2 linked regions of the Rattus norvegicus genome follow. The protein of the gene in region 2 interacts with the protein of the main gene of each other region in a pairwise test. Links are inferred from orthologs where the notes say so. Each region holds a gene or a part of one and is shown on either strand. Other genes may lie near its edges.

The links.
Region 1: the proteins of Necab2 (region 2) and Klc4 interact in binary tests that used the Homo sapiens proteins (3 or more experiments, as listed by UniProt). The two-hybrid records come from large-scale screens. The link is inferred for Rattus norvegicus from reciprocal best matches to the Homo sapiens genes NECAB2 and KLC4.

The regions. Positions count from the first base shown.
Region 1 is NC_086027.1:21,838,117-21,841,765, reverse strand, and holds part of Klc4 (kinesin light chain 4), read right to left. Parts: intron 3,371-3,649; coding exon 3,140-3,370; intron 2,030-3,139; coding exon 1,948-2,029; intron 1,437-1,947; coding exon 1,217-1,436; intron 821-1,216; coding exon 733-820; intron 1-732.
Region 2 is NC_086037.1:64,412,873-64,416,521, reverse strand, and holds part of Necab2 (N-terminal EF-hand calcium-binding protein 2), read right to left. Parts: coding exon of another isoform or gene 3,588-3,649; coding exon 3,563-3,587; intron 1,555-3,562; coding exon 1,446-1,554; intron 1-1,445. UniProt on the Homo sapiens protein: May act as a signaling scaffold protein that senses intracellular calcium.

The sequences.
Region 1 (3,649 bases), on a different chromosome or scaffold from region 2:
AGAGATGTCTCAGAGGCTCTGTGCACTGGCTGCTCTTCTAGCGGTCCTACATTTAATTCCCGGCACCCATATACGGTGCTCTCCTCTGGCCTCTATAGGTGCTGTACACATACGTGCTACACAGATATACATGCCAGTAAACTACCCAGACGCATAAAAAGAAATAGAGGGAAAAGGACTTTTTGAAAGAAAATGTCTCAATTAAACCTGTCATTTTGGGGGTTGGAGATTTAGCTCAGTGGTAGAGCGCTTGCCTAGGAAGCGCAAGGCCCTGGGTTCGGTCCCCAGCTCTGAAAAAAAGAAAAAAGAAAAGAAAAAAAAAAGGGGTTGGGGATTTAGCTCAGTGGTAGAGCGCTTGCCTAGGAAGCGCAAGGCCCTGGGTTCGGTCCCCAGCTCTGAAAAAAAGAAAAAAGAAAAGAAAAAAAAAAGGGGTTGGGGATTTAGCTCAGTGGTAGAGCGCTTGCCTAGGAAGCACAAGGCCCTGGGTTCGGTCCCCAGCTCCGAAAAAAAGAACAAAAAAAAAAAAAAAAACTAAACATTAATATAAAATGCAAGCAACATAAAAAGGAGTCCCTGGGCCTCAGAGAACTGAGAACCACTGAGTTCACTAGACAGAGCCTGAAAGTTCTTAAGCCTCCTTCCTAAGCATGTGGTGAGTGGTGAGAGCAGCACACGAGGACTGAGAGGCCAAGACAGCAGAGACAGAGGGGAGGGAGTGGGTGGGATACTGACGGCTGGGTGGTCCCGGCCCAGGGTGCTCTCCCGGATGCTGAGGGCATCGTTCAGCAGATGAGCAGCCTCCTTGTATTTATTCTGGTCCCTGAAAAGCAGCGGAAAGGATGGGCATCAGCATGAACTCTGTCCCCATACCTTCTCCTTCCTCACTTCCTTCCAGAGACCGAGAGAACAGAGGCACACTGAGAGACTGGGGACCCCTGATGTCAGGAAGCTTGTTAGGACAGGACGAAAGGCCCAACACACCAGGCTGCAGACACCGCCATCTCAAGAGGAAGCCACAAACAGAATAAGACACACACACCCTCTCCAGAGAGCCTGAGAGATAAGTATTCTCTGAGGTGGGGGCTTCAGGATCAGAGAAAGTGAGGGTTCCAGTGTGGAGGACAAACCCTTGCAAGGTATACCTGGGAGGCCCAGCAGAGAGGAGAGGAAGGTAGGATGTGAGCTGCTATAGACAACAGAGGACAGTGGCACTCACCGATACACCAAAGCCAGGATATTGAGCATAGTAGCCACGTCAGGGTGACCTCGGCCAGATGTGCGCTCCAGGTCCTCTAGCGCTTGCTTGCAGAGTGGCACAGCCACCTCATAGCGACCCTGAGCTGCATACTGGATGACCAGGTTGTGCAGGGTCCGCAACCTTGCTGGGATCTCATATCCACCCTGCTGGGCCGCTGCAGCACCCTGACCACGGGACACTAACTCATCCCAAAAAAGACAGGGCATTTCCTCAGAGGACTCCTCCTTTTCCCTTGCTGCCTGCCCTCCCCTCTGCCCACCCTTTCTCTTGGCTGCTCCTTGCCAGGTTCTCAAAGGAGACTCCGCCCCACAGCTATTCCCTTAACCACACCCTTGCACCAATGCCCCCCACAATCCTATCTATTCTCTTAGTAAATCACTCAACTAACATTTGCTGGGGTGTCCAGCAAAGCACAAATACAAAAGGCTTGAGGAATGCCTGCGGCTCCAGCCCGGGGTTATTTTCTGCTAGACTGTGAACTCACTAGTGGGACCAGCATCCTTTTCATCTTGATAACCCTAGTGCACAGCACACTCAGTAAATGCTGACGGGTACCGGGGAGGGAAGGAACCCAGTCTCCAAAGGAAGTGGGGAACTTATCTCTGGATGTGGAGATCCTACTCAGACTGGGCCATAGCTTGAAGCAGCTTCCTGCTGCCCTCACCCTGCAGCCCCACAGGCAGACTCACAGTCGTTGCTGGAGTCCTCCTCCTCCTCATTGGGGAAGAGGTCATCCAGGGAATCTTTGCTAGCATCTCCCTCCTTCTCCTCCTGAAAGGAAAGGGACAGCATGCCAGACCCCAGTGGCCTCATCGGGCTTCTTCTAAGCCACAAAAGCACCAAGCAATGGGCCTGAAGGCTTCTGCCCCTGGAAAAGACCAGCAGCTGACCCAGTCATGCACAGGCCTCCTGGATGTGAAAGCCAGGGATGTCCCAGACAAAATCGCACAACTCTATTTCTCATCCATAAAGGTCTCTCTCTAACACCCTATTCTCCCTCTCTCAGATACCTCTCGTAATTATAGCCATGGCGGTCCCTGTGCACTTACACTGATTATATGTCTATCCTGTCTCTCCTGAGGGGAAGGAGTATGTCTGTGCTCACTGACACGTACCCCAAGTGTCTAGCTCTGCCTTGGGCTGACTATTCCCTTTGGTCAGTGTGGGCTTAGGGAAAATGTACTTTTCTTCTTCAGGCTCGCCCATGTGTCCCAGGCAAATTATCTCTTCACCGTCTATGGGCAGAATAGCACTCCAGCCCTGCAGTCTTTTCTGTACCTGACCTCCTCTCTGAAGGCTTCTGACCATGCCAGCCCTCAGGGACCTATCCACGTGGCAGTCCCTGTACTCTGGCTGAGCCATGTCCACACTGTGTGCTTGCTGCTTCGTTCAGTCACATCCGAGCCTCCTGTGTGAGCCCAGTTCTGCAGACATTACAGGCCTGAGAAGACAGGGACTTTTCCTAGTCTCCTTCTCTCTGCACTCATAGGGCACAGGGATACATAAACGCCAGCTCCAGGGCTGAATTTCATGGAGCTTGAGAGAAGACTGTAGGGGAGTCTCTTGCTAAAGTGGGCTGTGCTCTCCCTAACTGTAGGCCTTAGGATTCTGGGTTCGAGCTGTCTGACTGTCCGTCTTGTTCCACATAATGTTAGCTGTGAGAACAAGAACTGTCGGCCCACTCTCCAGGGGCGTACACATGAGACTTAAGTCGACGGAACAAGTCAAGATCGTCCCCTGACCCCTGTTATCTGGAGCTGGTACCAAGGCTGAAAATAAAGTCCTTTCAAGTGGAAACGCGAAAGGCATTGACATTCACTGCGGGACAGTGGGACGCTTGCCCTGCCTTCAGTCCCAGCAAACGCTGGCTCACACACTCACCATGCTGTGCCCATCCTCGTCATACTGGCGCAGCTGCCTTAAGAACTCCAGGTGCTTCTTCTCTTCCTCCAGCTGTGCTACAGCCTGCTCGCTGCGCTGCAGCCGCTGCTGAGTGCCCGCCAGCTCGTCCCGGAGCCACTGATTCTCCTGGCAGAGCCGCCGTACTTGGGCCCGCAGCTTCTGCTTCTCAGACTCCACTGTGCTCAGGTGGCTAGCCAGAGCCAGCATCACCTAGGTGGGACATCGTATGAGCTCCAGGCTTTTGGGAAAGAGCATCCAGGGGACAGGTGGCCTCCAGGAGATGACGGAGAGGAAGCAACAAGCAGGAGTGAGTGGCAAGAACTCTACCATGAACAGGTTCACAGGAGGCTGGAGCAGTGGTTCGCAACCTTCCTAATCCTGTAACCCTTTAATGCAGTTCCTCAAGTTGTGGTGACCCCCAACCATAGGATTATTTCATTGCTATTTCATAACTAATATCTGATATGATATATCATAACTAATATCATA
Region 2 (3,649 bases):
CCTTGCTCAGATCTGGGGAGGTGCGTGAAGGCATCAGCACCAGAAGCTGCAGCAGAGGGACCAGCAGGGTCTGTGTGGGGTCTGATGCCTCCTCTCTGGGCCTAGCCTCTACCCTGGCTCAGGACTGCTTTTGGTAGATGCCATGCCCATCTGAGAAAAGGTTGTCTGTAGATTCCAAGGCCGGCGACTGCCTTGGAGTGCCTCAGACAACCGGAAATGTTGCTTCTTATGTCTACTTCAGGGAATACTGGAGTCAAGAATCCAGAATGTCTTCAGAATTGTGACCTTCCCTATAGGGATAGATCCCCCAACCCCACCCCATCCTTCAGGGCAACCTCTTTGGATCTTTTTGTTTGTTTGTTTGTTTGTTTGTTTTTTGAGACAGGGTTTCTCTGTGTAGCCCTGGCTGTCCTGGAACTCACTCAGGCTGGCCTTGAACTCAGAGGTCCGCTTGCCTCTGCATCCCAAGAATGTGTGCCCAAGAGGCTGCAGAGAAGCTAAGACCTCAGATGGCCTGGACACAGAGAGCCCTGCTCTACTATGAGAACCAAAAGACATCCTCAGAAAATTACACCCTGTCAGGTCTCCAGCCTCAGTTCCTGGCTACCACTTTACAAGCAAACTGCAAAGTGGCCCGGTAGTAACCATGTACCTACATCACCGCTAGGCTCTGGGCCCCCCAAGTGATCCCACCTGCCCTAGCACCCCTAGAAACTTTAGTCCTCAGCACCTCAGTGGGGCAGAGGAAGGTGACCAGGTGGCTGTTGCCCACCCAGGCAGAATTCAGGGGCATCAGACAAAGATGAGTGAAGGACACTGCACACTTATGCTGGCTCTGGACGCCAGGTGTCCTGGGAGGCTGAGTCACAGGTCCAAGTTCTTAGTGGGTTACAGAAACAAGTTCATTTTGTTCCAAGGTCAGAAGTGGAATTCACAGGGGTTGGGGATTTAGCTCAGTGGCAGAGCGCTTGTCTAGCAAGCTCAAGGCCCTGGGTTCAGTCCCCAGCTCCAGAAAAAAAAAAAAAAAGACAGAAGTGGAGTTCAGGCTAGAGTTGGGATTCATAGACACTGTAGGGTGGTTTGGGATGGTGGTTCACAGGGAAAGCGGTGTCTGAGGTCACGCTGGGATTAGAACTGAATGGAGAGATAGCAGGCAGGGCCACAGCCAACTTCCCATCAGTCCTGCGTATACTGCAGCAGGCCCAGGGTCTCTCCCCGTTTGGCCAAGGTCGCTCAGAAAAGACAAACTTTGTGGGACACACACACACACACACACACACACACACGGGGCTCAGGCAGCTTGGCAGCGAGGATCAAGTAAGTCTGACTTTTGAATTATTGAGTCAGGGGAGTTCTAGGCCTCTTGCCCTTAAACAGGACCTTGGCACTGTGAAGAAGGGAGGAGCCCACACATCCCAGGGTGCCCCACAGTAGCCCAGGCTCACTTGGTGTTGTCTGAATCAATGGTGTGGAAGAGGCCCTCCAGCTCCTTCTCATTGAGGACGCCATCCGCGAAGAACAGTTGAAATTCCTCAAGGGACAGTTTCCCGTCGTCTGCAATGGACAGGCAAGGAAACAAGTGACTGCTTGTCTCAGAGAAGAGAGCGCATGGTAGCCTACAGCCTGTCCTCAGCTGACAAACTCCCTGTTGTCAGCCTGAGGCCTACTGACAGGTAATCCCAAACCATCGGAGACAACTGGTTTCTGGGGAGCAGATACCTTCATGCTCTATCAGGCAATCACCCCTTCTGCTCTCCCCTCAGTCATCTGACATAGACATTATTTTTTTTTTTTTTGGTTCTTTTTTTCGGAGCTGGGGACCGAACCCAGGGCCTTGCGCTTCCTAGGTAAGCGCTCTACCACTGAGCTAAATCCCCAGCCCCCTTACATAGACATTATTTAAGCAACATGCTTAACCTGATACCACTAGCCTATCAGGGATCATGCTCAATCCAAGCCCCAGGTCCCAGCTCTGAAGCAGTCTGAAGATAGTCCTTCTATTCCGTCCTTCCTCAAGGCAACAGCAGGCTGAGCTCAGACCTTCAACCTACCCTAGAGCAGGACTTTGTGCCACATGGTAGGTAACAGCACAGTCCCCCACCTTTTGGGTGAGGGGTAGTCAGTGGCTCCATATTTCATGGCGTAGCTGGGCTGCATGGAAAAGCTGAAGCCAATGCTAGATTCAATGAATGTGTGCTGTAATTGATTAGTCATGTCTGTCCCGGGCACAGCATGGGGTGTGCTAACACCAGGCCAGGCTTCCCTCTTGACTGTTTCCACCTGCTTATCATGGATGGTACCTCAGTGTCCTCTGTACCCAGAGAGAACAGGAAGCTGGAAGACAGGGCCTGCAGATCCTCTGACATTTACCTTGGGTGCTAGTCACAGGCCTAATGAGCACAGATGAGCTATTAAGAGGAAAATATCCTCCACTTGGCCTCTGGTCCAATTAGAGAAGACAAGTTGTCCTGCAGTTTCATCACCTCTGCCAATGACCCAAGTGGGGCTGTTTGCAGGTGGTGCTACTAATGAGCAGGAGCCCAGCCTGCAGCAATGACCTTTCAAATAGCAGGAACCTGTGAGCCTCACATCCTTGGATGGAAGGGCTGGCTGGTCCTCACCCTTCTGCTGAACAACAATGCCAGTCTTTGAGGGTGATACCCAGGCCTCTCACACTAGCCTTCCCTTGGGGATTAGCTACCCCGTGTCTACCACATCCAAGCTAGTCAATCATGAGAGCCTCCCAGAGACACTCAGCCTTGTTCTCATAATGGAAGGCATCTTGCATACATTGGCAGATGTATGCATTGGCACAGAGGCCCTCCTGTGCTTTGGGCACAATGGCCTCAACGGAGAAGACAAGTTCAATCACCCAACCTGTGGGAGTGGTGGGGGTCAGGAGGGTGCAGTCTAAGGCTCCAAGCTGACACTCCTGTGACCTGTGTGGGGGGCAGGGGCCAGGCCTCTTTCCCTGGGTAGTATAGGCTCTGCACAGTGCTACCACACCTTTGGTACCCTACATCCCTGTGTTGTGTGTGGAATCTGCAGGTGGTCCCCAAGGCCTGGGAAGATGCATACCATCCCTGGGACAGGCCCAAGAGGGCAACACTCCTCTATAATGATCCTAGCCCAAGCCTGTCCCCCTGTCCTTCCAGATCCCAAAGAGCTCCATCCCAACCCACAACCACGTGGGACAGTTAACAACAGCTCCTAGGAAGGGCAGAGGAGGTGGACAAGGCCGGAGCCACCTTGAATTAAAACCCACTTGGGAAGGGCCTCAGGGCAGGTGACAGGCAAGGGTTCTCTTCTGCAGTGTTGTAGGTCACCCACGTACATCTCTTTACCTCACCCCAAAGCTCAGGGCAACACAGGACAGCTGTTACCACGTCAGCTTACAGAAGGGGAAACCGAGGCACAGAGCAGTGACAGCACTTAGCCTCTGGATTTCTTGCACTCTTCACCCTCAGGTCCATAGTCGTCCATGTTCCCACCCCTAGCTGTTTCCCATGAAGCACCAGGACAGGGAGAGTGCGGGCAACGAAGCACCTAGAAGGAAACTCACCGTTTTTATCCGCACGGCGGAAAATCTGGAGAGAGGAGGGCTGGAGTCAGTCCTGAGATGAGTCTGGGCAGGTGCCCTGAGCAGCCT